Linked DNA regions of Danio rerio. The protein of the gene in region 2 purifies or fractionates together with the protein of the main gene of each other region. This does not show direct contact. Links are inferred from orthologs where the notes say so. Each region holds a gene or a part of one and is shown on either strand. Other genes may lie near its edges.

Region 1 (7,350 bases), on a different chromosome or scaffold from region 2:
TAATAAAAAGAAATTAATATGTGAAAATGAAAAATCCTTACGTTTGATCTCCTTCTAGAGACTTCTGGATCTCCTGCAGAACACCTGAATTAAAGCAAGATGTGATTTAAACAGTTTTACCCACAATTGACTAATGTGAAGTACTCAAAAATGCGTTCATCCTTTCAAAAACTTGCACAGATATTAATGAGACAATATTATGGTGCAGGCAGATGGCAGCCTTACAAATCATGCGCACACATGACTGCACAGACCAGAACATGATCACTAGAACACGTTCAGCATGTTTAGATTGTAGTTTTTGTGTCATGGAACAAAAAGAGCAAGCAAGAAACAATCAACAAACTGACAATCATCTGATATGCTATCTAATGATTTGTCTAAACTGGAGAATATGCTGTCTAACTGCTGATTCCTGGTGTACTCACTCTCATCGTTGAGCAAAGCATGCTCCATTACTTGTCTAGCAGAATTCTCTGGAACACACAAGCACACGGATCAGTCCAGCGCAAACGTGCAAACACTTTTAAGAGGAGTTATTCACACAATCTGCAATTGTGGGTACTGGCAGGCCACAGCAATGTTTTACCTTTATTAAAATACTGCTTTTTAAAATATTTTATTAATTATGATCTACTAATAAAATACAATAATAATAATAATAATAATAATAATAATAATAATCATTCGTTCATTTTCTTTTCGGCTTAGTCCTTTTATTAATCTGGGGTCGCCACAGTGGAATGCAACTTATCAAGCGTATGTTTTACATAGCTGATGCTCCTCCAGCTGCAATCTATCACTGGAAAACCCCCATACACTCTCATTCAAACACATACACTATGGACAATGTAGCTTACCCGATTCACCTATAGTGCATTTTAAACACATGGAGAACATACAAACTTCACACAGAAATGCCAACAGACCCAGCCGAGGCCTGGAACCAGCGACCTTGTAATAATAATAATAATAATAATAATAATAATAATAATAATAATAGTACAATTTTATTTACATTTTATAATTTATATAATCTAAAAATAATATAATAATAAATTATATAATTCAGCTAATTTAATATTTTTATTTTATTGCTTTATTGTATTTATTAAGTATAGGTTTGAGTAAAATGTTTTACATGATAAAGGCTTGATATTTCTTCCATATTAAAAAAAATAATAGTATATAATAAAATATTTTCATTCACAGCACTTGGTTTTTGAAAATATTTTCATTAGTTGACTGAAATGAGGGTTATTTTACCAAATAGAGATCTGAACTCTAAGTTTTGCATATACGCTTCTGAAATATTATTATTATTAATATTATTAATATTCATTCATTGTTATTATTATTTATTTTTTAAATGTTTTACCTTCTCTAAAATAGAAAAATATTTTGCTTCTTTTTTCAGCTTCTACGTTGACTAATACACATCTAAATTTGCATTGAATTTGGCATTCAATAAAAAACATTTTAATAACATTAATAAAAATAAAATATTAACATTCTCTGTCAAAATAATGTATAGACATTTGTCTGAAAACAATTTTTATTTTCTGACAAATGCTATTTTTATTTTGTTTTTAGACTTTATTGCATTATTTTCAACATTTACTTACAAATGTATGGCAAACAGAGCTTGTTACACTGGACATGGGAAAAAAAAGAGTCAAATCAAAACGTAATAAAAAGTAAATAAAATTAAGGTCTTTTATATTCGGATAATGTGGCAATAAACTCAATTAGATTAGCAATTGAAAGCAACATGTGGATTATTTGATTAAATTCAGAAGTTAATTTTAGATAATTTCTGAATATAATCAAATATTGCACGTGTTGCTTTCAATTGCTAATCTAATAGAGTGCTTATTTCTTAGGCCATACTATTGTATCTGCGCATGTATTTTTCTTATATGATTATAAATTGCATATCCAAAGAAACTGATCATTTAGGTGGTCTTTTAATAGCTGTACATAAATACAGTAAATTATATGATTATTTAAATGAGTGGACATGAAGGCTGTTTAAATACAATAGTATGATGCTTTGCCGTTCATACCACCTCAAATAAATAACAAGTACTTATAACATTGAAATTTTCAACATGGCCCAGTTTCATCAATTACAGATTGTGTTTGTAAGTCATCTGCATGAGACTTGTGGGAATAATGTGGGAAAGCATTCAACAAAGCACTAACAACATGCGTTTTAGTATTAGATGTTTAGTTCTCACACACAACTAGAAAAAAAAAAAGAGAAGAAAACTCTGAATCTCACCATATCCTTCACTGTCCCCTTTGAAATTTCTGGAAAGACAAAACAAACAAACATCAATATATTAACACTTTGGTACATTTTTTACAACCAGAAACTAAATCTGAAATGGTGTCGCTTATTAAAACAGCAGTCTAAAACAACTAATCTAATCACCAAAAATACAAAATGGCACTTACAGGTTTCAAAATTCTTTATTGTCACTGTACTGAGTATTTAGTACAGCAAAATTAGAGCTTACAGTGCAAAAAAACAAACAAACAAAAAAAGAGTAAACATATTGCACAGTAACTGAGTAGTGAGATTCTATATACACAAGAATAATGTAACAGAATCTTAAATACGAATGGAGTATTGATACAATACAACACAGTGATTGACTGTGAAATAAAAGTGTTAAAGACAACATTGCACAAAAGATGCAATATTTAACATACAGTATTGCACTTCAAGAATGAACAAAGTAAGAGAATGGCCTGCTTTGATAACACTCTCTCCTTGTGCTTCACTATTTGAAATCCTGTTGTCTTATTATTTTATGTCATGAGTTTATATGCATTTATTTTTGTATGGAGTATGTTTATTTACTTATTGTTGTATTAAAGCTCTCTATATGAAGCGTATCCACTAAATTAAAGTCACAAATATATGAGTGGAGAGGCAGGATTTTAAATAGCCTTCTGTCTCATAGCTAGACATTGTATGTGTTATTATTTTATTGTTAAAGACACGATGCATTTGTCTTTGTTTAGTGATACTCTTTACATGACTACACACACCTGTGTTCGGTGGGTACTCCATCCGGCAAGTCCCTGTGAACAGGGCTTGATGGGCTCTTGGACCTCATCTGGAGGGGAGGCTCAACCAGACAGTGAGGTTGCACGACCCAACGGGTGGAGAGAGAAAACCGCTCAAACTCGGATGGAGAGATCAGGTAGAAACCTACAAGAGGACCAGACAGAGTTTCACAGGTTATCACATGGAAGCTGCTTTACACTGGGGAGTTTGTAAAAAATGAATGCAAATGTTTTACTTGCAACAGTTTTTTTTTATCATCAGAATTCAGGATATTCACCTCATAATTCTGGCTAATTTCCCTCAGAAGTTCACATCTTGAAATTTTGCAATTTTCCTTTCAGAATTCTTAGTTTACATCTGACAATTCTCACATTTTTGTTTCTGTTAGAATTTTAGGTACAGATGTGGCTACTGAGAATGCACGAGTGAATTAAGATGTCACATGGTACTGCAGTAATGCGCAGCACAGCACAACATGGACTAACATCCAAAATACAAAGCCAGCAGGGGGCAGTTATGTAACATAGTGAACATACTGAACTTATATATTGAAGCAGATAGAGCATGCGAGCGGAGTGGAGTAAACTTCGCTAACCATTCTGCTTCATGGTCATATGCTTGCTCGCTGGTAAACCATTACCGCTTGTAACTAAAAAAAATTTGAATAACTGTCTAAAATTAAAGTACTTCGATAAAATAAGTTTCTCTTTCAAAGCGGTATTAATGCTTTTCCTTTTTTCTTTCAGTACAGTTTTTTATTAAGATTTAAAATAGGCCTCAGTGATCAACTGTGTATTTTTTAGCCTATTTATTAAGGCAGCTGTGTGTGTTATTTTATACTATAGTTTAACTGACTGTTAGCCTATTTTAAACTACGGAGCTCTGAACATAATTTGAATTACAAATTTGTTCCACGACCACTTCTTATTAATGCATATCCTTGTTTTAATTAAAGTTATACTTTAATAATTAATTATGAAATGGAATAATTAATTCCTGGAATAGTCCTACTAAATTTATGAAACTAAAGAATTAACTTGGGCTGTAAATGGGTTCGATCTTTTGAAAAGCAGTGAATTAAAATGTACTTGTTGGGCTCGGGCCCTATTGGGCCTAAATTTTATGGCCTGATTACAGCTCTACATTATTCTAGTGTTAACCTTTTTTCTTTTTTAAATTTTTTATAAATTTCTCTATCTGCAACAAAATAAAACAAAAACCAACTCAAAATTTCGAACTACTTCTTTCTGACTTTTTATTCTTACAACTACAAGTTTCCAGATACCAGTTTTTACATGTACAAGCTTTAACAACATTTAAAAACTCTTATTTCATTTATACTAGCAGCTTATCAAACCATGTACAGTATGTGAAATTCAGCTCTTTCTTACCTTGGCCATATTTGGTGAAGACACAGGATGCGATTCCACTGACGTCTTCTCTCCGTATGCAAGGATAATGGACCAGCATTTTGATGGAGGGCAGAGAGATGACGTGGAGCTCCCCCTGATTCGTCAGCACCACCAGACAGCTCTCTAACTGTTCATCGGTCCGAGAACCAAACCAAGCCACACCGACACGCCGCACACGAGAGCCATCCACCGCCGTCAGCTTTAGCTTCGACTTACTGCTCACTTTGGGCAATGTAAAAAGCTGCGCACACACAACTACGGTAAGACACAAGACATATAGTGGAAACCCAAACTGTACTGTGCAAATTCTCACCTTAAATTGCTCCTCTGACACAACCAATAGATGGTGTGAGCCATGCATTTCAGGACTGCGTGCCAGGTCATGTGCCACTTCTAGGGGTTCGGGCAGAGGGGCTCCCTTCCCATCCAAGACCACCAAACCGACAACTGGAGCACGATGCATCAACTGAATCTCTTTGGCTGGTGATGGAAAAGCACATTTTATAGTAAGCATTTGACTCATTTATTATTTCTTTTATTTTTTTGCCAATTATGTTTATTAACATTTTATCCAGATACAACAACATATACATACCAAAACAAATAATACCATTGCTGCTTTTTAAATATCCCACCACAATCCCCCATATCTCCTAACCTTACAATACAAGTACAAATGATCATTTACAATAAATAAACAAATAAATAAATAAATAATACAAATAAATGTAGTTATTAAATAATACAGTTAATATCCAAAATGGGTTGTTCCTCTTCTGCTTCAAGATCAATAGTATCAATGTAATTCAACAAAGGTTTTCCGTGTTTTATAAAAAGGTTTTAAAAGCCCTCTTAATAAATTCTAATTACTTTCCAGCCTTAAATAAATAAATCAAAAACATTTTATCTATCTATCATATGAAGGTGGAGATGTATGTTTCCACATAAAGAAAATAAGCTTCCTTGTCAATAATATGGTGAAAGAAACAGCATCATTATGTGTCGTTGTAGGCAAATTTGAGGCTTTGTTTTGTTTTTAAGTTTGGGGTAAAATGTTACGGGTCAAAAGCATGAGATCCCATTTTGGTATCCGTGTAACATTAAATATAAAAAAGGATGTACAAAACAGGAACATTAAATGCATTTAAAATGTTCATTATTATGTTTGGAATAATTGTGAACATCTTCAAATGTTACAATAAGGGTGAAATACTTTGTTCAGCTTAACATATAAAAATAAAGAAACATTTTTTCTTTACTAACTAAAATATTAAAAAGATGAAGTTTTCATTCAACATTTGGATTTTGTTTTTGATTAAAAATGTCATGCTCAAATTATAACAGCAAAGGGATTTAAAGTGACAGTTAATTAGTGCTTTTAATCAGCACTGTAGTTTCGAAATATCATTGCTAAAATATATATTTATTTATTAAGTACATTTAAAAAACAGCCACATGACTGACCAAAGAGCTGTACATAAAAACCTACATATAGAGAAATAGTAATAAAAAAACAGAAATACAAAGCCTCTTTTAATGTTTAATCATTTCATCATGTTCATTAAATATGCATCACAAAATCTTTCTGGTATTTAAACTATTTAACATTTAAACTATTTAAACTATAATTGTATTACACATTTTCATGCTTGACCCAAATACACAAGCTTTGTTAATATGCTTCACGTTTTATAATATGTAAAATATAATGCACATTTTTTATTTAGTCTTAGATTAGTCTTGGCGGAATAAAGCTGCTATGTTGCTGCTGTTTTATCAAAGCAGCAGAGCAAGTACTGAGACTTCCTATTGTCAGCATGTTCACAGTCACACAGTCTGAAAATTTAACATACTGCTGCTGCAAACGCAATATACAGTTGAGCCCCCTTAGAATTTTTTTTTTACATTTTTTAAATATTTCCCAAATTATGTTTAACAGAGTAAGGAAATTTTCACAGTATGTCTGATAATATTTTTTTTTCTGGAGAAAGTCTTTTGTTTTATTTTTTTGTTTTATTTTGTTTTTAATTTTTTTAAGAACCATTTTAAGGTCAAAATTATTAAATAAATTAAATAAATTTAAATAAACCGGGATCTAATAATTCTAACTTCAACTGTATATGTGACTCCCCGTAGCAGATCTAAAAACATGTGAACCTGAATGTGAATGTTCAAGAACAAGCTTATTGGCTGCTAAGGTGACAGCAACCAACCACCTGCACCATGTAGATAATGATTCAGTAGCAGTCACAACAGTACTTTGTATTATTAAAATCAACAAAAAACTGTGCTCCTATTTGGCAAATTATTTTTGATACATTAAATATGATTTTACAGCTGAAAGCAAACAAAGAAATTTATTTCTGACTATTATTTCAGATTTTAGTTTTTGTACCTGCATGAGCCGTCACTGGATCCTCTGCCCTTCGTTCCTGTGGTGGGACACGGAGGACATATGCAAACACAGCTCCGCCATTGGTCCCTGCCCACAGTGAAGGTGTACTGTGAGAACCTGAGGAAAACAAGAAGAAGATTAAGGTCATCATATCAGTTATAAGACCCAAAATCTAATCCCAAATTGCAGATTAAAAAACCCTGTGGTACTTACTATCACTGACAAATGTATCTGCGAAGTAGAGCGTTCTGACGAGACCTGTGAAGGAGTCATCAGATGATCGGGCTTCAATCTTTCTCTGTACAGGAGCCAGCTCCATCTCCTGCAGAGCCTCAGCCTCCAGCCTGGCATTGATCTCCTGCAGCTGCAGAAAGATCCAGAATATTCATCATCAAGCCAGCACCACTGTTTCAACAACTCTGAAGTATGCAGCGCCAATCGCTACTGAAATAGCTCTTCATGTA
Region 2 (7,450 bases):
CACACAAATAAAAATTCTGTTAACATTTACTCTCCCTTTACTTGATCCAAATCAGTTGAGTTTCTTTCTTCTGATGAAAAGAAAAGAAAATATTTTGAAGAAAGCTTGAAACAGTTAACAGGGAGTACTTTTCATTTTTGGGTGAAATATCCCATTAAATTACCAATGAAATAGTTTTTTTTAGGTTTACACATACACCTACCCCAACCCTAAACCAATCCTTCAGAGTAATGTGAGAACAGTACTTAGTGTCACAAAAATGATGGTATATTTATGTGTGCATACTTAGTAGCCGCAGTTGAATCCATTCTAGACTTTGCATTTAAAGAGGCTATACAGCATTTAACATTTGAAGTGGATCAAAAACATAAAAAATTGTCCTAAGAGAAGAATGGCCGGTGTTCAATAATAGTTTTCATACAACCTTAAAGACAGCTGAAAGTCGGCGCCAATAGCCTAGTGGTTAAGTGCGTCGACATATAGCACCATGGTGCTCACGGCAATCCGAGATCGATTCCCGGCTTGAGGTCCTTTGCCAACTCTTCAACTCTCTCTGCTCCTAATACTTTTCTGTCTGCAACCTATACTGTCCTGTCCAATTAAAAGTAAAAATCACCTTAAAAAATAATTATCCATCAAAATAATAATTAATCGAAATCCCTTTAAGGCAAGTGATTTCACCCCGCAGCCATTTTTGAAAGACCTCTCGGCCAGTACGCTCGTGCATTCTGTCTAAATGGAGAAACATCAAATTCTCCAAAACTGTTTGTCAAGCTTACAATTACATTACATATTTGGAATTGCCAATAAAATTTGTCTTTTTAGTTTAATTTCTAAACGTTCCAATCAAAAAAAATTGACATTTTTCAGGTTGACCGAGCTAATGCGCATGCACACTCGAAAGGAACGAGATCCCGACACCAACCTTATTTATGGCTGTTTTACACATTATCATTCTCTGAATAACGATCGTCCGATTCCGCTAGTCTTCTGAAGTAATTCACAACTTGGTCTTAATGGCGAATCTGTTTACTAGTTTGTGGGGCATAGTTTGAGTTCTTGCTGCTTTCATGTGATGTGGCTCCTGTACTAGTAGGCGGGGCTTCATTCACCATATTGACATTTACGCTTTTCCCCATTCAAAAGTATACGACTGACATGTCTGGAGTATTCTAGAGTCTTTGATACTATATACTGAATTCAAAAACTCTTGTTAATAGTGATACCAGTGGCCATTCAGTGAATGACAGCCAGAAACTTATTGCAAGTACTAACACAACTGCACAGGTTTATAGAAAAGACTGAACATGAACCTTGGCAAACAGCTTGCAGTTCATGTCAGCCAATTAGTTTTCCTGCCACTCGAAAATAAACATTGCAGAGGGCATACAATGATTAACAAGAAATAAACAAACACGACTAACGGCTAACTCACAGCTCTACAGAAAGTTGAATATCCAACCGGCTGGTGCAGAAGCTGAGAGAAGATCATGTGAGCTCTACTAATGCTCTTATTGGCTGTTGCTAACGAAAGTCGTTCTTCATTTGGATAAGGTTGAAGGATTCTCAGCTTTTTTGTATTGCTGGACATCCACACATACAGTCACCAACAGTTGTTGTCACTTGTATAGTTGGGAGAATGCCAGAAGTCTCTAGCTCTCCATTGATATGAATAGTCAATTGTTGCTTTGTCCCTGCTGGTCTTTAGTAGTTTGAATTGTGATCAAGACATTAAAGTTTTTTGTTATTTGAGAACCGATTGTATCATTGCAAGATGGATACTGCTAACAAAATAAAGGAAGATTGATGAATGGACAAAAGTAAGGAGACATGTCCCTCCCAAAAGCCTTTCCATGTGACCTGAAGTGAAGAAAAGTCATTTCAGGGGAAAGGGAAGGTTATGGTATTTAATCTTTACAAAATAATGAAGCACACACAGCCATCATTTATAGTATAAAAAAAATAGGAAGACAAAATTTTAATTTGATTGCAACTTTAATTTATTACCAGTCATGATTATTTGTTTTGATTTGCTTGTGTATGTTTTCTGACTCTCAAAAGGTGCCCGTAATCATTGACCTGCATTTTATAAATCAACTACAGTTTCAGCTAACAACATTCTATAGTGTTCTGCTTAAGAATCTGCTTTAGTTCTGTTAGGTGACCAACACCTTTAAAAACAGCATCCCGCATTTATTACATCAGGACTGGACCACCACCAGCCAAGTTATAAATAACCAAACGCATCAATAACCCTTCACAGATTTGTTAGAAGACATTTACTTCGCATCATCAGGGTTCTCCCGAGCAGGCGCTGGTGTGCTGCAGTGGCCATATTTAGATTTATTGCCAATCAATACTGGAACAGGTGGATCATATGACATCCCAACACAGACACTGCAGCTAAAAACAGCAACACCGAGCAGCATTTAAGACACAAACCACTCAAAAACTGCTGCTTTTGGCTGCAACACACCAAGGACAAGTTGGAGACTTAATGCACCATGAAAACAAACCAAACAGGGTTCATTGAGCCAAAGCTCAACCGGACTCCCAGTGTGTCTGCAGGTCCATCTGATACAAAAATCAACTCAGAAATGAATCTAACGTCATTCGACAACAGTATCAGGATCCTGGCGTTCCAACCGAACACAATTCCCCTTTGTTACTCCCCAAGAACGTTAGAAACAAACTAACATGAATGTGACTCCTTGTGTCTTCAGTCACGGGAGAGATGCAGAGCCTCGTGTTTGGGTGCATCGTGGCCAAGAGCTGCTGGATAACTGACATCTCGCTAATTATGACAGTCAGACTTAAATAATGCATGAGCATCTATTTTAACCAACCTCTTTGGAAATAGCGAAGGGATGTGATAAACCAATCATAATGACACAAATCAGAGTCGCCAGCCCACATTTCCATCTATTAGTTAGCCCTAAACTCTTAATAATATGCACACAATAGCCTGATAGAGCGCCGTTCACATACCGTCAGCCTTCTTAGGATGCATCGGGTCTCCGGCACCAAGAGCTAAGAGAGTGTGTCTGTGTCTTCCTTTGTGTGTGAAAGCTAAATGAAAGGATGCTAGCTGCTCTCTGGAAGTCTGACTAAACATGCCAGGTAGGCAAATCGCACACACATACACCAACACTGCCGCACTCGCCAACAGGTTCAGACCCGAGAGTGGCAAGCGAAAGACGAGCCATCGAGTCACCGCAAGGTGGGATGAGAATAAACAGAATGCATCAAACATGCAGGCACACGGCGGATTCGCCTTCGCATCCGCACGCACACACAAAATGAGATGGAAGGGGTGGACAAAATGGGAAAGATGTCGACGTTGCGGTGCTCACCGGTATCTTCCTGTTTTCTGCTCGTTTCAGCACATTTTCCCCTGGCAGCCTCCAAACGACGCACCGGCTACATCCCCTCCTCCCTCGCCGTCTCCTCTGTTCACTCAATCTCTCCTCTTCCTTGCGACTTATTTAATTATTTCTCCCCCTCCCTGCCGCTCCGTCGCTCCCTGCGTGCGGTCGTTACAGCTGGCTGTCCTTGTATAGGCTGCGTCCTCGATGGATGGATGGATGGATGGATGGATGGATGGATGGATTGATGGAACGGGCAGCTCTGCTGGAAGCCCTAATTGAGACGGGCGGCACAAACAAAAGGAGGGAGTTCCTGCAACACAGAACGGATATTTTTGCTACGGTGCCTGGCTCTGCTCTGCACTCTTCGCCTCTCTTCTCTATTATTTCACTCTCTCGTCCTTTTCTCTCTCTCTCACTCTCATCCTTTCGTCAGGGTGTAGCTGAGTCCCCAGAGAGCCGGTGGCAAACAGCTGAGGGGCCCGCTGGAAAACGTGGCATGGAGCGCGAGGGAGCGGAGCATCAGGGTGGATGGTGAAAGAGCTTAGTGTGTGGTGTATGAGAAGGAGGAGGAGGATGGTTGATAATGGCTGGGACTTTTTGATAATTAGTGGTAATCTGAATAAATTTGATACTTAATGTATTACAATTTCGCCACTTACTGTTTGTGGCATGGACATAAATAATACCTTAATTTAGCCAGACTCTTGAGGAAAGCAAGTTGTGGTGGATGATAAAAAAATAATTATACTTAAGCGAGTTACATTAAATAAAGAATATATAGATAAAGTCAGACTTATTAGCCCACCTGAATAATTAGCCCCCCTGTTTATTTTTTCCCAAATTTCGGCTTTTCAACACATTTCTAAACACAATCGTTTTAATAACTCATTTCTAACAACTGACTTCTTTTATCTTTGTCATGATGACAGTAAATAATATTTTACTAGATATTTTTCAAGACACTTTTATAGAGCTTAAAGTAAAATGTAAAGGCTTAACTAGGTTAATTAGGTTTACTAGGCAGGTTAGGGTAATTAGGGAAGTTATTGTATAACAATGGTTTGTTCTGTAGACTATCGAAAAAAAAATAGCTTAAAGGGGCTAATCATTTTGACCTTAAAATGTTTTTTAAAATGTAAAAAACTGCTTTTATTCTAGCTGAAATAAAACAAATAAGACTTTCTCCAGAAAAAAATATTATCAGACAAACGGTGAAAATTTCCCTGCTCTGTTAAACATCATTTGAGAAAAATTTTAAAAAAGAAAAAAATTCAAAGGGGGTTTAATAGTTCTGACTTCAACAGTATATTGCTTAAGACGCCAAATACGTTTGACCTTAAAATATTTTACTACAAAAAAATGCTTTTCAAAACAACTTTTATTCTAGCCAAAATTAAACTAATTTCCGAAAAAAAAAATATTAAAAGGAATTGTATAAAATCCCTTGCTCTGTATTCATCGTTTGGTAAGCATTTAAATAAGAAAAAATTCAAAGGAGGACTGATTAATGTGACTTCAACTGTACATTATGTAATAAAGACTTGGAAGTACACTTTGTAACCAAGCATCCAAAGCAACATAGCAACCACCTAGCCACACCTTAGAAACCATACGCACTACAAAAAAAATGCTTTTCTTAAGTTTTAAGGAAAAACTTTATATTTTGACATAATATTAATAAGACAATATTATTTAGTTGTGTAGAAAATACTTCTTGATTTAAAGAATTTGTCAATTTTTGAACTAGAAAAAAAAGACAAACTAAGAAAAGCATTTTTGCTGTGCCACCACTTGAATGCTGCATACTTGCGTGAAAAAAACACTTGAACCTACAGCAAGATCCTATAAATAACCGAGCAACTTTTACATGCAAACACTGCAAAAACTTTTACAGGAAACTATGAACTGTAAGAAGAAGAATGTTTTTTATTACACATGGTGCAAATAATTCCTTATCAATTTCAAAGTTTGATTTATAATCCTTTTTTTGACACATTATAGTCTATTTCCTTTTGTTTCAACAACAGAAATAGTTCCAAACAAACCAGCGCAGACAGTTCATGCATCTCAAAGTAATTCTGATGTAATTTTTTTTTTACTAATCCCAAATCCAGTTTGTGGATATGCTCTAAAAGTATACTCTTTTTGGGAATGGGCATTCAGTTGAAGTCAGAATTATTAGCCCTCCTGAATTATTAGCTAAAGAGTAGTCAAGCCTTGAAACATAGTCATTAATGGACTGTTTTGTTACTTAGATACAGTATGTGCCCTGTCAATCATGTTCTCACATCCTCCACATTCCGGTATATGTAATATCCTTCAATACCAGGGTTGACATTCCATGCTAATCTGCCATTGGTGAGACTTTTAAGGAGAGACATCTCCTCATGTGTTTGCATAAGGTATTCAACATGCAATGACTAAAAGTGTCTTAATAAAAAGATACAATCCCTTACTCTCCATATAACCATCTGTCATACTACATTTAATGTAAAGTAAAGTGTCTGTTTTGAAATACAGAGCTAAAAAAAGGGCAATCATTTTTGCAAGAGTCAATGTGACTTACTTTCTGAAATAATCCCGTTTTTGATGTTAAACAAACAGCAAGAGTTCGCAACCACTGATAGAATCAAAGGACTCAGGAGATTGCATGAAGACTGTGAGATCAGGGATTAATCTGACAGAGAAACTCCTACACACCTCAGCAAAGCCCGAAGACCAAACACAGACATTTTTGATCAAACACCAACTCTCAGCAAAGCCAACAAACACCATCACACAGCACAGCAATATCAATCCAGCCTCGGTACAGTTATTCACTCTAAAATTACAACCATATCATCATTTACTCTTCTCTTCTTGGTGAATCCTCTTTTCTATAAACTTCAATTGCTTCCATTAAGTATTATATAAACTCATAAGACTTAAAAATATATATACATACTTTTTTCTGATTTAAATATTTACAAATCATCAATAAATAAATAAATAAATACAAGCAAAAATACATAATTAATAGTTATCACCATACATCCACAGATTAATTTAGAATTAGAAACATATTACAATTTTTCTAAAATGTTATTCACAGCAGGGAAAATAAGTATTGAACACTTCACCGTTTTTCTTAGAAAACATATTTTAAAGGTGCCATTGAAATTTCCCCCGGATGTTGGTAACAACCAAAAAACATCCATATACGCAAATAAAACAACTCTTATTAGTTTAAAAATGAAGTTATGCATAATGAAGAATAAATAAAATGATGCAAGGATGAAGTATTGAACACATGAATAAAGGGAGGTGTAGAAAGCCAGTGAAAGCCCAAACAGCAGCTGAAATCTCTCAGTAGTTCTTCAGCAACCCTCAGTCCTTCCTCAGTGTAAATGAATACTAGCTGCTTCAGTCCAACATCTACATTAGCAGGATGATGAAGATGAAATCAGGGTGGACATTTCAGCAAGACAATGATCCAAAACACATCCAAGGAAACTCTCAAATGCTTTCAGAGAAAGAAAATCAAGCTGATGGTCCAGCCAATTACCCGACTAGGATCCAATAGAAAATACAAAGTAAAGATCAGATTTGATAGACGAGAGCCAAAACCTTCAAGAGAACCATTAACCACTCACAACGTGAGCAATTCATGTGACTTCATTCTCCATAAAAGAGGTGTCTTTAAGCTGTCATCACCAAAAAAAAAACTTTTATGTAAAGTATTAAATACGTTTCAGTAGTTCAGCACTTTCTCCTTGTGTCATTTCATTGTTTTTACACATAACTCATTTTCAGTTTTTCTTTATTTTTTTATGTTTGTATTGTTTTTTTTTCTGCTTCTATTCCATGTCAACAGCTTCTTCAGAAATATTACTCCCAGAAAAAAAAGACATGATGTGTTCAATACTTATTTGCCCCGCTGTAAAACTATCGAGTTTACAATTATTGTTTTTTTCCCTTTATTTGTGGACATACAGTAGTAGAGTTAAAGTTTATTATAGAGGGGATTTCAGAAGATCTCTTTTTTATCACTCCATAATTCAGAAAACAGCAAATTGCTGGGAAAAAAAACTTTGTGTAGAATA
Region 3 (7,450 bases), on a different chromosome or scaffold from region 2:
GTTTCTTTATTGAAACCTCAGACTAAAAGTGACACGGGGCATCGCAGTTGTGCAGTGGGTAGCACAATCGTAAGACGGTCGCTGGTTCAAGCCCTGGCTGCAGGGGCGCCCCCAAGTCTGGCCACCCTAATATGATTTTGCTGTTAAAATTATTCATTTAAATGTACTTATGTAAATTCACAATATTAGAATAAATAATTAATAAATAGCCACTAAATGACTGTGGGTTGATAGGTGCCCCTCCCCGATCGTTGTTGACAGCACACACACACCTTCATTAGACAGCAATGGCAAGTTAATATTTACCTTAAGGTACATCAATAGAAGAAGCGGTATTAATAATAGTCATGCTGGTAGACAAGGAAGACATTTTAGTTTTATTCAAAACAAAGTCACTAATCACAAAAGGAATTCAAAGGGTTGATGTATGCTGTTGTGATCTTCATACACAGCAATGTGAGTGTCAATAGTGTAGCATTCAATCTCACTAGAAGTTCGCTCGCTGTAGACACAGCAGGTGAGTACACAGATACACAGCTCAGAGTGATAGCAGATCTTCTAGTAAACATCAGATAAGAATAATCACTTCTGTTGATCAGTATGAAGGACACGGAAACTCATAAGAAACATCCATGGAAGAAGGTGAGAAGACGAAAGAGCAAAGGTGAAGACAACCATCTGACTTCAATATCAGCCGATGAGTGAACCGAGAAGGTGGGTCTTTATAGTGTGCATGGGTAAAGGGGAGCTGGTGCAAAAGAAGTCTGGTGAAGAATCACTGGATTGGATGGAGGTGGTATTTGAAGGAGAACGTTGATTGGGTGAGCAGGAATGAGCCGGGGTTGTGACAATAATATTCATTCATTTTTTTTTTGGCTTAGTGCCTTTATTAATCCGGGGCTGTGAAATGAACCACTAACTTATTTAGCAGGTTTTTACGCAGCGGATGCCCTTCAGCCACAATCAATCTCTGGGTAACATCCACACACACACACACTCATACACTACTGACAATTTAGCTTACCCAATTCACCCGTAATGCATGTCTTTGGACTGTGGGGGAAACTGGAGCACCCAGAAGAAACTCACGCAAACGCAGGGAGAACATGCAAACTCCACACAGAAACGCCAACTGACCCAGCCGAGGCTCGAACCAGCGACCTTCTTGCTGTGAGGCGACAGTGCTACCTTCTGCGTCGCTGTGACAATAACAGTGTGGCTCAAAAAGGAATATGGATAAATTATATTATTAGCGTCTGTTTAGTGTGTGTTGTGTGTGTGTAGTATTGCTTTTTGTTTAGTTTGTTCATTTGTGTGTAGTATTAATTTATTAATTAATCTTCAATAATTTTAGACATGGTTTATACTGTATGCTGTACGATAAAGGTATGTAAAATTAACTGAAAAGTATGTTATATGAGGAGTGTTTTTAAACTAAATATCTAAATAATAATAATAAATATATTTTTATTTGGTTTGCACATGTACTTGCTGAAATATTTCAAGGAATAAATTGCAATATTTCAAGAGTAATTAGTTAAATGAATTAAAACCACATTAATATATTTACCAAAAACAAAAGAATAACTTTTTGCTGAATTCATTATTTTTTGTGTGGCACCCCAAGATTTGGTGCAGCCTCTTCTGGCCATCCCTAAGAAAATTTTCTAGGGACACCACTGCCCGGCTGGGTCAGTTGACATTTCTGTGTGGAGTTTGCATGTTCTCCCCGTTTTCGAGTGGGTTTTCTCCGGGTGCTCCGGTTTTCCCACAAGTCAAAAAAAAAAAAAGGATGAAGAATGTGAGTTGAATTAAGCTAAAATTGGCCTTTAATGTACAAGTGTAAATGAGTGTGCATGGATGTTTCCCAGAGTTGGGTAGCAGTTGGAAGGGCATCTGCTGCGTAAAACATATGCTGGATAAGTTGGCGGTTCATTTCGCTGTGGCAAGCCTTGATTAATAAAGGGACTAAAGTTAAGCCAAAAAGACAAATGAATGAATGAATAAAAGTGACATGCCCGCCAGCTACGGATCACGTGTCAGTTACTTTCATTGAAATATCAGTTTTTCTGACCTAAGTAATTGATCGCATCAATAGAATATTACACGAAAACGAATGCAAGGAAACCAAAAAGTGAATATAGAAAAGGAACGACTCTACAACTCAGAAACTACAACTCCTACAAGATCAGCGACGTGAGCGGAAGTGAGGTGACTTGTGATCACGTGATGCACAGCGGAAGCCTCCAATCAGCGTACAGTTGTGTCGCTGCGGCTAACATCGACCCCGGGAGATCCTTGAGGTAACGTCAGTAAACGCTTTTATCGCTATTATGAGCAGGGATGTGAAGTAATTTCGACGTTATGTTAATTAGCATCTATTTATTTTAATTCGCAGTTTATTTCACACATCACGACGCTCCCCGTTTTACATAATTGTGGATCAGTCGGCGAATTTGATGCGGCCTAGTTTGAAGCAGCGGCAAGCTAACCACACCTAGCATTAGCTGAGCACACAAACCAGAAAATCAACACTTATTAAAACTCTTGCCTGGCTGTTAAACATCACAATGTTTTTTCGGCCTTAGATGGAACTATTGTGCATATGTATTTTACTGTATTCGTCATGAGGCTTAAAATGTGACCAGCAGGCTATGCTAGCGTGCGTCAGACCAGTCCAGTCAATTGTTTACGTGAAAACTGTTTAGACTCGATGCAGTTTGTTATAAACATGTACTCATCTTAAACGTATTAGCAACGCAATATAATTTGCTACCCGAGACTTATTAACAGGGCAGTATTAACCTATTTTCAGTAAAATTGTCGTATGTTACTATTAAAGTGACCCTTTCTTGTATTATTAATAGTGACTGCTACTTTTTACAGTGACTAATTGTTAATCTGCTTTTTTTTAGTTTCCCAACATGAGTAGCTCAGAGGAAGTGTCGTGGATTTCTTGGTTTTGTGGTCTACGGGGAAATGAATTCTTCTGTGAGGTTTGTATTGTCATCTTTGTAAGTTATTCTGTTATGTTGTATAATAAGCAGGTGTGTAATAATACACAGTTAAAAAAAATCGGTGTGTGCCTTTTGTTTGAAGACATATACAGGCATATAATGAAGATAGAATTGCAGTTTTGTGGTTTATTGAACATGTTTGATGACCTTTTTTACTGAAAGAACTTGCACATTAATAAAATGTTAAATGGTTCCATTATCCAGCAAAGCCTAGATTATTACATCCAGTTGCTGTATAGTTTGTACAATGTATTCTGCTACGTTTAATAGGCATGGTGCGATAACTGTTTTCAAGTTATACCATGGCTTGGAAAAGTCAAGGTTTTAAAACTTTCAATATTTTCTGCTGTACCGATCCTACGGTATATGTAAGTGGGTTTTTTTTAAGGTTTTTAGGATGGAAGTATCTCCAGCAGAAAAGATATCCAAAGATGCAGTTTTAAATTGTAAAGAAATCAGTGTTTTTGAAACTAAAGGAGTCGACAGAAGTCAATGATTCTTTTGAATTATTCAGCTTGACATGTTTACTGCTCCAAAATACTTAAATGTTACTCAAATTAAAATATATTGTGTTCTACAGGGAAAACAGTTTTAATTTTTTTTTACTCAGACATTTAAAAAGGATATATTTTAGAGCACCATGAATACCATGAAACCGTTGTGTTTTTATCCAAGGTAATCATATCGTCAGAATCTTATACTGGCCCATGCCTAACTTCTAATGCGTTAATAAAAAGAAAAGCTCCTAATTGTGTCAATGTTTAGGCAAAAAAACTATTCTTTCGAGTTTATATCTTAGAAATACACACTAAATTAAGGTAGATGACACATTTACATGCAGTTTTACTGATTAAGCGATTACATATGATGTGAGATGTTATTGAGGTAAAGTTAGTTTTATATTCGCACACTTGTACTTTCATCTTTTCAATATTGATTGGGTATAAACTGCAGTTGAAATCACCGTTCAGGGCTCGAAATTGCGACTGTTTTGGTCGCATATGCGGGCAAAATTTTATCCATGCGACCTCCAAATATATTTAGGAGCATTTGTGTGACTGCATAATATTGGTGCCGTGCGACCGGTTTTCACTGCAAAATGTTCACCACACATGCAGATTTAGGAGTCATTCGCGCAGAATGCATCTTAGCACCTGAGACGCCAAATGCAGCGCTCATGAATAGTTTAAAACAGTTGTTAAGTCAACTTGCTGCCATAAAGCGCACAATGCTTGCCCCACCCTCAAGCTCTTCTGATTGGCCCACTGCTCTAGAACTGAATGCGAACAAATTGGTTAATATCAGCTGTCAATCACTTGGTCGATGGCTTTCTTTAGATGACAGGGAGAGCTACAATCGCGAACATGTAGAGCACTGAAGATGAAAAAAAGAAAACACTGACAGATTTAGTTTTAGAAAACACCTAAAGTTACAAATAAAGACACGTCTGATTAGTGGTCATGTGGTTAATGTCAATCCAGCGTTTACTCTTTTCCAAGAGTGGATAAAAGACTTCCAGTGTTAAAAGTTCGCTATGAAAATGACTAAATCGTTAGGATGCTGTCAGCTGTGCAGGTGGCGCTATATGTAAAATGTAACACCACGAACACCATCGCAAAGTGGCTTGCATTTATCGACATACAACTTATATTGCAGCTAATATAATTGCAGTAAATCGCTTAATATAACATTAAAACTTGTAGTAACAGTGCTTATAATTGGTGGGTGCGACTAAATTTTTGCTTTTTAAAGTCGGGAGCACCAGTGCTACCATGCAAAATGTTTAATTTCGAGCCCTGCCAGTAGACATGAGCATCACCTTTGTGCTGATTCTGAAACGATGTTGTAGGAATGAATTTTCAGTGCTTCCCATGCATAGGCTTTACTTGGGCAGGCTGCCCAGGTATATCAAGCGTCCGCTCAAGTATATTTAGTGACACTTTTTTTTTTTTTAACTATTATTATTATTATCATCATCATCATCTTCCTTTTACACTTTTTTTGTATCCGCCCAATATCAACAAACATCCGCAAGCGATTAAGTAGTGGAAAATCTCTCCTTGACCCATTTTGTACTGTTCGTTCTGTGTGCGCGAGAACTGTCAACACTCCCACAAACTTTAAGCCATTGAAAAGAAAGTTTAAAACAGATCCTTAATAAATCAAAATATTGTGAAAATCTAATTATGTTTTGTTTGTCGCATATGGTTAACTATTTTTGTGCTCTGGGTAAAAGGTGTTTCAATCCGGCTACCACCGCAAGTATATTTGAAATCTGTGGGAAGCACTTAAAGTGGAATAAAATATACAGAACAAACCACCATCTGTCTGTCTAGCTAAAACAGCATCAAAAACTCTCTGAAACTGCTTTTTATATAAAAATAAAGCAGAAATCAGTTTTTTTGTTTAGTTTTTTTGAACAATTGTTTTATTTTCATTGATGCATTCCTAATGTGCTTTGCTCTTTTTCTTCCCCTCTATACAGGTGGATGAGGACTATATTCAGGACAAGTTTAATCTTACAGGACTCAACGAGCAAGTTCCCCATTACAGACAAGCTCTGGACATGATCCTCGATCTGGAACCTGGTCAGTCATTTAGTTTTTCTACACAATCCCACTTTTGTGCCATCATTATGGTCAGCATTTCTTTTAAATAATTCAACCTTAAGCTTTAATTAAACGCATTAACGGCCCAACCTGTCACTTACATGAGACTAGCCAATAGCTAAACCAGCATTCAGTCAATTGCCAATGGATGACGTCAAGTCCTGCCAAATATTTCTTGTTCTTGTTGGAAAGCAGTGTCATGTGAATAGTGAGATGATTCTTGTGTTCATCAGATGAGGAGCTGGAGGATAACCCTAACCAGAGTGACCTGATTGAGCAGGCTGCTGAGATGCTCTATGGGCTGATTCATGCTCGCTATATCCTCACTAACCGTGGCATTGCCCAGATGGTATGATCTCCTTTTCAATTTTTTGAATCATTTCATTTAAGAAAGATGTTATTGTATTGTGACATGATGTGCTGTTTTCTCTTGGAGCTGGAGAAATATCAGCAGGGAGACTTTGGCTACTGTCCTCGTGTTTACTGTGAGAATCAGCCAATGCTGCCTATTGGTGAGTGCCTCAGCCTGTTTTGTGCATGTTATTTTACCAACCCAGTTTTCATGTAGTAGAAAAATGTATAAGGTAAAAGTATTTGCAGTAGTTGCATATTGACATACAATTATTTAGTTGATTAAATATAACCATTTAAACGACACATTAATATTAATAAAAATAATAAAGAATATGTATCATTTGATTGAGCACTGTAGGCTCTGTCTTTAAAAGTTTTATGTAGGTCTATCCTTATATACAGTTAAAAACAAGTCATATTTTAAAATATTGGCACAAAAATCTGTACTTGTTTTTAATTTGTCATTTATTTATTTATTTTAAATGTATTTTTTATTTAAAAATAAATGTTTTTTTATTTTTAATTTCACCATGTCTTCACTTTAGCATTTAAGCACAAATATAATGTAACTTGTACACTGTATTTCACAGCGCCTACTTTGCTGATTTATTTCATGAGCACAACCGTTACTGCATGTTAAAAGCCAAAAGGCGGATTAAAACACAAGGAGTAAATGTGGAAGACTTGTGATCTGACGAAAGAGTGTAAACAGTGGAGCCTGTAGCATTAGCTGGCCAGCCAGTTCAGTTTGTTTGGTTTGACCCAATCTTGGGTTTTAGGTAACATGAAGTCAGCTCAATTTTAGTCCCTCTTTGTTCTCATGGTACTATGGAGCATATAAGCTAAGCTACGTTCATGCTACCTAAAACCCAGAATTGGTGCAAACTTAACTGGCTAGCCAGCTAATCTGGCGTTATGGTACAGGCCGCTGGTCTTCAGGCAGTCCATTGTTCACATGAGCTCCACTGAAACTTGAAGGAATGAATCTTTTGCCCTCTCCAGGCCTCTCTGACATTCCCGGCGAGGCTATGGTGAAGCTCTACTGCCCCAAGTGTATGGATGTGTACACGCCGAAGTCATCCAGGCACCATCACACTGACGGAGCTTACTTTGGCACCGGCTTCCCTCACATGCTCTTTATGGTGCATCCCGAGTACCGGCCAAAAAGGCCTGCCAACCAGTTTGTGCCCAGGTTTGTCCTTCCTCCTGATTTTCTCAGATGAAGTCTACAGTTGTTCAGTTTGATCATAGTTGTTGTCTTTGTCCTCTTTCAGGCTTTATGGTTTTAAGATTCACCCAATGGCTTACCAGCTCCAGCTGCAGGCAGCCTCCAGCTTCAAGAGTCCCGTCAAAGCCATCCGCTAAACACCTGGGATGGGATGGGATGGGGTGGGGTGGGATGTCGGGTGGGTTGTGTGTCCGTCAACAAGGGCTCACTCTTCTCCTTCGATTTGACCGAGACTAACATTT

What was found.
Region 1: the proteins of prkcz (region 2) and llgl2 purify together in Homo sapiens (affinity purification with mass spectrometry; 7 studies listed by BioGRID and IntAct, counting the BioPlex papers as one, with this or other methods). This does not show direct contact. The link is inferred for Danio rerio from reciprocal best matches to the Homo sapiens genes PRKCZ and LLGL2.
Region 3: the proteins of prkcz (region 2) and csnk2b purify together in Homo sapiens (affinity purification with western blotting; 3 studies listed by BioGRID and IntAct, with this or other methods). This does not show direct contact. The link is inferred for Danio rerio from reciprocal best matches to the Homo sapiens genes PRKCZ and CSNK2B.

What each region holds. Positions count from the first base shown.
Region 1 is NC_133187.1:35,652,146-35,659,495, forward strand, and holds part of llgl2 (LLGL scribble cell polarity complex component 2), read right to left. Parts: intron 7,251-7,350; coding exon 7,100-7,250; intron 7,004-7,099; coding exon 6,887-7,003; intron 4,972-6,886; coding exon 4,805-4,971; intron 4,733-4,804; coding exon 4,471-4,732; intron 3,224-4,470; coding exon 3,061-3,223; intron 2,314-3,060; coding exon 2,285-2,313; intron 477-2,284; coding exon 429-476; intron 85-428; coding exon 42-84; intron 1-41. UniProt on the Homo sapiens protein: Part of a complex with GPSM2/LGN, PRKCI/aPKC and PARD6B/Par-6, which may ensure the correct organization and orientation of bipolar spindles for normal cell division.
Region 2 is NC_133183.1:19,584,396-19,591,845, forward strand, and holds the start of prkcz (protein kinase C zeta type), read right to left. Parts: upstream 3,731-7,450; 5' UTR 3,254-3,730; coding exon 2,989-3,253; intron 1-2,988. UniProt on the Homo sapiens protein: Calcium- and diacylglycerol-independent serine/threonine-protein kinase that functions in phosphatidylinositol 3-kinase (PI3K) pathway and mitogen-activated protein (MAP) kinase cascade, and is involved in NF-kappa-B activation, mitogenic signaling, cell proliferation, cell polarity, inflammatory response and maintenance of long-term potentiation (LTP).
Region 3 is NC_133194.1:29,147,402-29,154,851, reverse strand, and holds the start of csnk2b (casein kinase II subunit beta), read left to right. Parts: upstream 1-2,272; 5' UTR 2,273-2,308; intron 2,309-2,915; 5' UTR 2,916-2,924; coding exon 2,925-2,996; intron 2,997-5,502; coding exon 5,503-5,605; intron 5,606-5,859; coding exon 5,860-5,975; intron 5,976-6,062; coding exon 6,063-6,138; intron 6,139-6,982; coding exon 6,983-7,172; intron 7,173-7,254; coding exon 7,255-7,345; 3' UTR 7,346-7,450. UniProt on the Homo sapiens protein: Regulatory subunit of casein kinase II/CK2.